2 linked regions of the Macaca mulatta genome follow. The protein of the gene in region 2 binds, or shares a complex with, the protein of the main gene of each other region. Links are inferred from orthologs where the notes say so. Each region holds a gene or a part of one and is shown on either strand. Other genes may lie near its edges.

Region 1 (4,646 bases), on a different chromosome or scaffold from region 2:
CTCCGCGCGCAGGCCCTGCAGCGCTTTCAGAAGCAGCAGAGCTCGCAAGGGATCGCCGGGGCCGCCGGGGCCGCCTGGGCAGAGCGCGAGCAGGCGTGCCAGCAGCGGGGCTGCGGCTGGAGGCAGACCTGGGAGGCTGCTCAGCTCGGCAGCCGCCGCTTGCAGCTCGGCAGCCACGCGGTGCGCCAGGGCAGTCGCCCACGGCGCCGACGTGGGGTCGTGCAGGGGCGCGGGGTCCCCGGTGGTGGCCGCGGTGGGCCGCAGCAGCAACAGCGGGTCCTCGCCGTCTAGCAGGCGCTCCAGCGCCGCGGGGTCCGACAGGTTGACCAGGCCCTGCGGGAAGCCGGCCAGCGCGTCCGGGTCCAGGGCCAGGCGGGGCGCGGAGGCCCGGGCCCGGGGGCCCCGCAACGTCCGCACCAGGCGCGTGAGCGTCTCCAGGAAGGGGTCTGCACTGGGCGGCGACTCCTCGAGCTCCGCGGATGGCCTGGAACCCGCAGTTAGGGGAGTTGAGAGCGGGCGCGAGGCCACGCCGCCCCCGCCTGCTCCTGCCCCATGCCCCCGGGCCTGCACGCACCTGGGCGGCGGGAAGGGCACGGTGTCCAGCTGGCCTTGCGCGGGCAGCGGCGCGGGCTCAGACCGCGGCAGCAGGAGCAAGGCCGGGGTCATCCGCGTGAAGCAGCGGTGGTCGTCGCCGAACAGCAGTGCCTGCACCTGGGCGGTACTCAGGAGGGAGCCTGCGGTGGGTGGGCGCGGGGTTGGCTCAGGGGCTGGGGGCTGAGGGCAGTCGACCCGGCGCCCGGTCCCTCTCCACGCACACCTACCCTCTCCGCGGGGCTGCAGGGTCAAGGCCAGCCCGGAGCCGCGCCAGGCCCCCGCAGGGCGGTCCACCGCCAACGCCAGGTAGCGAGTGTCCCGGGACGGGCAGAGGCTCTGTGGAGACCAGGGCTCAGCCCGGCTGGATGGAGGCTTAGCCAGCCCTGCTCTACCGGTGCCCTTCCTCCCATTGCCACTGGTTCTACGCTTCTCTCAGTACCGCAGACCCTGCAACAAATCCATGCCCCTGCCGCGGCCCAGGCAATGCCCCATGCAACTCCCTGGTACCTGGGCACCCGGCAGCCCAGCCCTCGTCACAGTGACCTCAGGGCCAGGCCCAGGCCCAGGGTACAGCACCAGCAGCGCCAGCTCCGGGGGGTCGGCTACTCCATGCGGGGGCTCCTGGAACCTCAGCGAAGGTGTGGGCTCCCAGGTCACTGCAGCCAGGACAGCAGGGGACGCCTGAGCCATTGAAGGCCAGGCCCGTCCCACACTCCCCTGGGAGTCTTTGGGATCCGTCCCTGCTGCTCTGGCCACTGTGCAGGGGGCCTTGAGCGGGGGACCTAGTGTCCCTCTTCACTGCCTTCCTGCAGCCAGGGAGCGGTGACCGCCCGGGCAGGCAGAGGCTGCGTCTGAGGCTGTGGGTGGGGCTGCCGCCCTGGGGTCTCTGGGTTAGGGCGCCCGATGAAGCCCCTTCCCCGCAGGGAGTCTCTCAGGCCAGTGGCCCCGAGAACAGGCTGGCCAGGTGTGGGGCGGTGGGGAGGAGGGTTCCACTGGCCCCGAGCCACAGGGTGGTTTCTTCACGGGTGGCGAGAAGACAGCAGCTCTCTCCCTGCCGCTGTGGCAGGGGCTGGTCTAAGAGCTGGGCTTCAGGGACAGGACAGAGCGCGGTGCCCACCTTCCAGGCCATGGACCCACAGCCCAGTCCCAGAACAAGACCACAGCCTCCCTGCCCAGGGTGTGGGCTCTGCCAGCCCTTGATCTTCCCTAAGAGGACCTGGCCCACCTGAAGGAGGCCGGCGGTGCCAAGCTCGGGGCTGGGCCCCACGTACCTTCCTCCAGGTGCAGGACCACCAGGCGCTGCCCCCCAGGGTCCCGCAGCCAGGCCCCCAGCCGCTGTAGAGAGGGCAAGGCAGCCTGCCTGTCACCGGGGGTGCACACCCCAAAGGTGGCCAGGTCTCGGGGGCCCCAGTGGGCCCGCTGCACGGCCCCCAGGAAGGCCCGCTCATAGGCGCTCAGAACTCCCATGACCTGCAGGGGGGTGCCGCTGCCATTGCTGTCCCCACCCAGTGCCACCAGGCACAGAGGCTCTTGTGGGCTGCCTGGCGGCCAGTCCAGGTCTTCTCGGAAGATGAGGCCACCGGTGCCCACAGCTGGTTCTTCTGCTCTGAGGGCCTCAGTCCCCAGCAGAGCCCCCAGGGCGGACAGTACCAGGGTCAGGCTGGTGAGAGGCAGGTCCCGCGTCATGGGTGCTGCCAGGAGCTGGGCTGCCCGCCTTGTGGAAGCCGAGTGGAAGGTAGGGTGTTTGTAAAGGACAGGCCCCTATCTCCTCTGCCGCGACCTTGGGGGACAGTGCCCGGCGCCCCCACTCCAGGCAGAGTGGCCTTCTCAAAGAGCCCTTTCTGTCGCCAGCAGCCTATCTCCCTCCCCACAGCGATAGAGCTGGGCCTGATTTGTCAACATGCTGTCCTTGAGGGCCCGTCCCCAGAAGGCACAGGAGTGGGAACCAGGCTGGGAGTGATGGCCAAGCAGCCAGACTAGACAGCGCTGGGGGCGGGGGGCCCAGATGTCCTGGGTGCTAAGGGGTGGGCCTGGAGGAGGAGGGTCCCAAGTCAGTGGGGGCGCCCTGTCCCTGCTCACCTTCCCAACCCCTGGTGGGCTATCTGGAGACCCCAAGGATATCACAAGAGTCTGCTCTTCCCTCCCCAGGACAGGACCCCAGACCCCCTCCTAGCTGGCTGGTGGAGTCTGTCCTCCACCAGGCCACCTCCAAGGTACAGCTGTCTCTCAGGCCTCCCACAGGTGTCTCCCGGCAGGCCCCAGGCCCTCCCCAGTCGGCGCAAACTCAGGGATGGTGCTGTGCCTGGCACTCCCACACAGCACTGACAAGGGAGGGCGGCGCTGCAGACATCAGTGCACTCGGGGCTGGGGAAGGCTGTTTAATGAGCAGGGGGCGGTACAAAAGAGCAGCCTTCTCTCGATGGCAAAAGGCAGGAGCACCTGGCGCTGAGCTTGCTGGGGGAGGGAGCAGCTTCTCAGTTGGTTGGGGGAGGGGGAGGTATGTTCCCTGGGCCTTCGGAGGGGAGTGGGGGCCTCAGCATTGGGGGCATGGGAGTTGGGGGGTGTACCCCAGGATTTGAGGGGTGAACTCCAGGAGGCTGAGGGTGGACCCCAGGAGCTGATGGATGGACCCCGGGAGGTTGGGGGTGGACTCCCGGGGCCTGAGGGTGCATCCCTGGGGCTGGTGGGTGCACCCCCGGGGCCTGAGGGTGAACAGCAGGGGCTGCTGGGTGTACCCCTGGGGCCTGGGGGTGAACCCCCGCTGATGGGGGAGGATGGACCCCCGGGGCTGGTGGGTGGACTCCGGGGGCTGGTGGGTGAACCCCGGGGGCTGGAGGGTGAACCCCGGGGGCTGGAGGGTGGACTCCGGGAGCCGGGGGGTGGACCCCAGAGGTTGGTGGGTGGACCCCAGGGGCTGGGGGATGGACGCCAGGAGCTGGGGGATGGACCCCAGGAGCTGGGGGATGGACGCCAGGAGCTGGGGGATGGACGCCAGAGGTGGGGGGATGCACCACTGGGGCCGGGGGGTGGACCCCTGGAGCTGGTGGGGGTAGCTGGGGTGGTCCCGGGGGCCCTGAGGGTGCAGGCCCCGTGGGGGGCATGGGTGGCAGAGGTAGGCCTCCCGGCGGTGGCGGTGGCAAAGACTCGGGCAGCGGTGGCCGAGGGGGCAGACCATTCATCAGCGGAGGTGGAGGCCGCTTCACCCCAGGGGGGCCGGCGGGGAGGCTGGGCGGAGCCGGGGGCTTCTCCATCTTAAAGTGGAACTGGAGGAAGAACTAGAGAGACGGAGAAAGGTTCAGCAGGCACGGGCAGGGCTAGGGCCACCGGGGCTGGGCAGGAAGGAGCCAAGCTCAGGGCTAGCCACTCACCTGCTTGGTCTCCCGGTTCCAGTGTGTCCAGAACTTGCCCTCCGCCTTGTCAATCTCTCTGCTCGGCACCTGGGAAGGCGGGGGACAGAGAGGGCTCCTGGTCCCTGTGACCTCAGGGTAGCCATCAGGCAGGGAGCCTGAGGCGTTAGCCTCCCCGGCCCGGACTCCACCCTGGGAGCCCAAGAGAAGGCCCCGGCCTGGTAAGACTTTCGATGGGCACAGGGTTCAGTTCTGGAGTGACACAGACCCGGCCTCCACGCTAGCACACGCTGGCCCCCGCCCTGGACAGGCACCGTTTGTATTGTTTCCTGATGGCTGCTTTGTCCAGGCGTAGGCACAGGCTGTGGGAAGCCCTCCAGCAGCCTAGACCAAGAAGCGAGGTCACTTGGCGAAGGCCTCACAGGCCCAGCGCTCAGCCCTGCCGGCCTCCCTTCTCCATGGGCACAGTGGAGCCCAAGCAGGCCCCCTCCTGCAAAGCCCAATGGGAGGGGTACCCTGCCCAGCCTGCACAGACCCTTCTGGCTCCGTCTCGGGGATCCCAGGGGACCCCACAGCCTGATAGGAGGGGCGCCCTGCCCAGCCTGTGCAGATCCTTCTGGCTCGCACATCTCAGGGGGCCCTGGGGCCCAGGGGACCCCGCAGCCATGCTACCTTGAAGGCGATGGTCTCATAGGGCTCAGCGGC
Region 2 (4,698 bases):
CTTCACGGGTTCACACCATTCTCCTGCCTCAGCCTCCCGTGTAGCTGAGACTACAGGCGCCCGCCACCACGCCCGGCTAATTTTCTTAAATGTATTTTTAGTAGAGATGGGGTTTCACCGTGTTAGCCAGGATGGTCTCGATCTCCTGACCTCGTGATCTGCCTGTCTCGGCCTCCCAAAGTGCTGGGATTACAAGCGTGAGCCACCGTGCCCGGCCAACATTGTTTTTTTTTTTTTTTTTTTTTTTTTGGCTGGGCACAGTGGCTCATGCCTGTAATCCCAGCACTTCGTGGGGCTGAGATGGGTGGATCACTTGAGTTCAGGAGTTCGAAACCAGCCTGGCCAACATGATGAAACTCCGTCTCTACTAAAAATGCAAAAATTAGCCAGGCGTGGTGGCAGGCACCTGTAATCCCAGCTACTGGTGAGGCTTAGGGAGGAGAATTGCTTGAACCCAGGAGGCAGAGGTTGCAGTGAGCCAAGCTATGCCACTGCACTCCAGTCTGGGCAACAGAGCAAGGCTCTGCCCCCCTCACAAAATAAAATAAAATAAAATAAAATAAAATAAAATAAAATAAAATAAATATATAAACATGTATTGTTTATGTAATAAAAAATAAAAATAAATAAAAATTATTATTATTTTGAGACAGGGGCTTACTCTGTCACCTAGGCTGGAGTGCAGTGGCACAATCTTGGCCCACTGCCAGTCTTGACCTTCCCAGGCTCAGGTACTCCTTCCACCTCAGCCTCCCAAGTAGATGGGACCGCAGGCACGTGCCATCACACCCAGCCAATTTTTTCTTTTTTGTAGAGGTGGGGTTTCACAGTGTTGCCCAGACTGTTCTTGAATCCCTGAATTCCTGGGTTCAAGCAATCCTCCCAAGTTGGCCTCCCAAAGTGCTGGGATTACAGGCGTGTGCCACCGTGCCCAGCTTGTTACTATTTTTTGAGATGGTCTCACTCTGTCTCCCAGGCTGGAGTGCAGTGGGATGCTCACGGCTCACTGCAGCCTCAACCTCCTATGCTCAAGCGATCTTTCCACCTCAGCCCCCTGAGTAGCTGGGACTATAGGTGTGCACTGCCATGCTGAGCTAATTTTGCAGTTATAGGGTTTCCTCATGTTGCCTAGGCTAGTCTTGAGCTCCTGGGCTTAGGCGATCCACCCACCTTGGCCTCTCAAAGTCCTGGGATAACAGGCGTGGGCCACCTCACCTGGCCATTTTTAATGTCTTAGAAAAGAGAAAATCGAAAGCAGAAGCATCAACAAGGCCCAGCTACCATGTAGCCCCCACCTCCATACATACACACAGGCACACACACACATATATACTCCTTGGTGCTCACCTTGGGATGCAGTTCCAGTACCAGCAGGGGCCCAGAGAGCATGGGGCCAGGGCCCCCCCAGCTGGCGGTGATAAATCGGACAATGTGGTCGTGCTGTAGGCCTGGAAGTTCGTACAATGCTCTCTCAGCTTGGAACTGAGCCACAGACCTCGGTGGAAAGGCCTTGATGGCAACCAGTTTGCCTTGCAGCTGCCCGGCCCAAACCACTGCATGACCTCCTTCCCGGATTACCTGGTAGGGACACTGTGCTGAGTGTGGGCCTCTGAGCTATAATAGGGCCAGGCTTCCTCCCCAGCACAACCTCCAGGAGTGCCCAGAGGATCCCTTCTCTCCCTCCCTGGGGCACCTGGGAGAAGCACAGCTCGGGCAGCTCCTGCAGCTCCACACTCCAGTCCCTGCCCAAGTCTGGCCCTGGCTTTGGCACTGGTTCACTTCGCACTCTGTAGTTCTTTCGCTGTAGCAGGGCTGGAACAGAGAAGAGCCTTAGGTTCAGGGTGCACATGCATGGGGACAGGAAAAGGGACTCTATGGAAAGGGAGCTTTGTGAGAGGTCATGGGAGTCTGGGAATCAGGCTATGGAGATCCCAAGACCATGGGGTCAGGGGTGCCTGGAGAGGGATCAGAGCTCTGGGGACAATGTCTTGGGGTCACAAGGGAGGGATGGGGTGGATTAGTACCCAAGATGATGCTGCCCAGCAGCAGCAGGAGGAGAAGGAACAGCCCCAGCAGCACCAGTGCCATCCAGATGGACTCACCTGGACATCAAGGCAAGAATGCAGGCTGGCAAGCACTGACCCAAACCTGCTCTCCGCTGTTCCCCTCCTGAGAGCTTGCTTCTCAACCCACCCCCACCCTGGTCACAAGACCCCTTATCTCCCAGTCACCAGGGCAACCAACTTCCCAAGGCCAGGAGGAGGAAAGTGTGGGGTGGGAGTAGGGTGAGAACTGGCCCTGGTTCCATCTCTCATCCTAACCTGGGCCCAGCCCCCACCAGCCTTCAGTACCCTTGGGTGGCTACCTGGGGCAGCCTGGGGACCCTGGGAGCCAGGAGTCCCAGGGCTCCCTGGAGGAGGCAGATGGCTGTAATTGGCATTGCAGAAGTCAGTGCCACAGGAGCAGGTGAAGAGAGTGGAGCCAGGGCTGGGGTGGGCTCGGGGACTTGGGTCACAGTGGAGGGACTCACAGCCTGGCTCATCACTGTCTCGGCATCCTGATGGGGTGGGATTAGGGGAAGAGGAGAGAAAGGGGGAAAAGGGAGAAAGCACAATGGCATGTGGAAACAGAGGATAAATCCCTTCTCTATCAGAGGCATCCCTTCCATCTCTCATGGGCTTTTCTTTCCCACCACATGTTCTATTTCTCCCCTTCCCCCTTGGTTGCCACCCACACCCCAGGATGTGTCTGTCTCCCACCCTAGCTATCACCTGCCATATACTTTGCCATTCACCTTGCATTTCCACCTGTGCCCGGTCTTGGGTCAGGTTCCAGATCCCAAAGCAGCAGCGGCTGTAGAGGCAGCGGATAGCTCTAGGGAGCTCTGGGCCTGTATCTAGCAGCTCTCCCAGTGTCTTTGTGCTTCCCTGCACTCCAGGGGCCTCAAAGAACACACAAGTTCGCCTGTTTGGGGGTGCTGAGGCCCAGGGTGGGGAAAGGAAAGGATTCGAGATAGGAGTGAATGCAGAGGCAAAAAAGTGGCCAAAAAGAACAGACAAAAACATGTTCCACATCCCAGCGTCAGTATGGTAAAGCCACAGGAGGAAGCAGGGTCAGCAGAGGGCTGGAACCTGAGCCCCGCCATGGGGACACATGGCTCTGTCCTTCACCCTCACTCACCCAGCCCACTCACCACTCTTCCAAAGGGGTGGCTCTTGCTTCAAGCGCCCCTTTCCCTCACGGGATGGATGGAAAGACCCTTCCCCTCCCTGTAGACGCTTACCTTCCACAGCTGTGGGAAGTAATGCCCAAAGCCCCAGAGACCCTAGCATCTTGCTGGAGGATGGCAGCAGCAGAAGGAGGAGAGCATGAGCCAGCACAGCTGCCCCTGGCCAAAGCTTTCTTCAGATACAGGGCATCCTGGAGCTTCTGATCCCTCAGTCCCCAACTCCGCCCCCCTCATTCTATCCCAGCCTCTGTGGGGGAGAAGGCTGCTGTGGGGGAGAGGGTGGGTGTGGGGAAAGCAGGGAAAGAAAGGGAGGAGCAGAGAACCAATCTCATATCCTCTTCTCTTCTGCAACCTCCTCTTTGCTCTGCATAGTGGGAGGAGGGGACCTTGCAGGCCCAGCTGAGAACCCAGTGATGCCTAATTTCAAATCTTTGCCCTTTTCTGACCTTGGAAGAAGATGCTGGACTCTGTTGACTCTTCTCAGGAGGAAACTAAGGTGAGGTCAAATGCTTAGAGCCATTCAGCTCTGCCCAAGATCCCTTCTAGCCTAAGATCCCTTTATATTCAGGGTTCATATCTGCAGCTGCTTGGGCAGAGGAAGGCCTCACAGCCCATATTAGAGGTTACCTTGTTTTCCAACTTAAGAATCAGAAAGTACATAAAACTTACCTGAATTAAAAAAAAAAACACATTGAAAACAGTAACAATGGTAAATTTTGCTGTGTGGATTTCACTTAAAAAAAAAATCACATTGGTTCACAGGCTGAACAAATAACCATTATTAAGGAGGTGACAAAGTTCTTATCAAGCACCTACTATATTCTGGGTCACAGCTAGGGCTATGCATTTTACAATCGTCTCATCTAATTCTCCCCTGAAATATTTATTATTATTATTATTATTTTATTTATTTTTTGAGACTGAGTCTTGCTCTGTCACCAGGCAGGAGTGCAGTGGTGCCATCTTGGCTCACTGAAACCTCCCACTCCCTGGTTCAAGCGATTCTCCTGCCTGGGCCTCCCCAGTAGCTGGGACTACAGGCACAGGCCACCATGCCCAGCTAATGTTTGTATTTTTAGTAGAGACAGGGTTTTCACCATGTTGGCCAGGATAGTCTCAATCTCGTGACCTCGTGATCTGCCCGCCTCGGCCTCCCAAAGTGCTGGGATTACAGGTGTGAGCCACTGTGCCTGGCCTATTATTTTTATTATTTCCACTTTATAGGTAAGAAAATTGAGCTTAGGTAAGTCGCCCGAAGTCATTCAGCTAGGAAATAGCAGAGCTGGAATTTGAACTTAGGCAGGTCTGACTCCAAAGTCCAGGTTCTATTTTTTTTTTTTTTTTTTTTGAGACGGAGTCTCGCGCTGTCACCCAGGCTGGAGTGCAGTGGCCGGATCTCAGCTCACTGCAAGCTCCGCCTCCCGGGTTCACGCCATTCTCCTGCCTCAGCCTCCCGAGTAGCTGGGACT

Evidence for each region.
Region 1: the proteins of AMHR2 (region 2) and AMH are in contact, whole or in part, in a crystal structure (PDB 7L0J), measured with the Homo sapiens proteins. The link is inferred for Macaca mulatta from reciprocal best matches to the Homo sapiens genes AMHR2 and AMH. Residues at the interface, in NP_065434.1 of Homo sapiens: Gly31, Val32, Arg33, Gly34, Ser35, Thr36, Thr38, Leu39, Phe62, Ile64, Glu75, Met76, Arg80, Asp81, Ser82, Glu84, Pro85, Ser95, Arg97, Ala98, Pro100, Ser101, Leu106, Thr108; in NP_000470.3 of Homo sapiens: Leu471, Arg472, Glu474, Val477, Leu478, Ile479, Pro480, Glu481, Thr482, Tyr483, Gln484, Lys534, Leu535, Ile537, Leu539, Glu542, Arg543, Ile544, Ser545, Ala546.

What each region holds. Positions count from the first base shown.
Region 1 is NC_133424.1:2,995,595-3,000,240, reverse strand, and holds the start of AMH (muellerian-inhibiting factor), read right to left. Parts: upstream 2,918-4,646; 5' UTR 2,281-2,917; coding exon 1,866-2,280; intron 1,251-1,865; coding exon 1,102-1,250; intron 931-1,101; coding exon 822-930; intron 735-821; coding exon 575-734; intron 485-574; coding exon 1-484. Other genes in the region: SF3A2 (splicing factor 3A subunit 2), read right to left, coding at 3,069-3,869, 3,963-4,031, 4,614-4,646. UniProt on the Homo sapiens protein: Plays an important role in several reproductive functions. Induces Muellerian duct regression during male fetal sexual differentiation. Also plays a role in Leydig cell differentiation and function.
Region 2 is NC_133416.1:60,571,884-60,576,581, reverse strand, and holds the start of AMHR2 (anti-Muellerian hormone type-2 receptor), read right to left. Parts: upstream 3,217-4,698; 5' UTR 3,075-3,216; coding exon 2,795-3,074; intron 2,558-2,794; coding exon 2,366-2,557; intron 2,103-2,365; coding exon 2,025-2,102; intron 1,813-2,024; coding exon 1,694-1,812; coding exon of another isoform or gene 1,579-1,693; coding exon 1,348-1,578; intron 1-1,347. UniProt on the Homo sapiens protein: On ligand binding, forms a receptor complex consisting of two type II and two type I transmembrane serine/threonine kinases.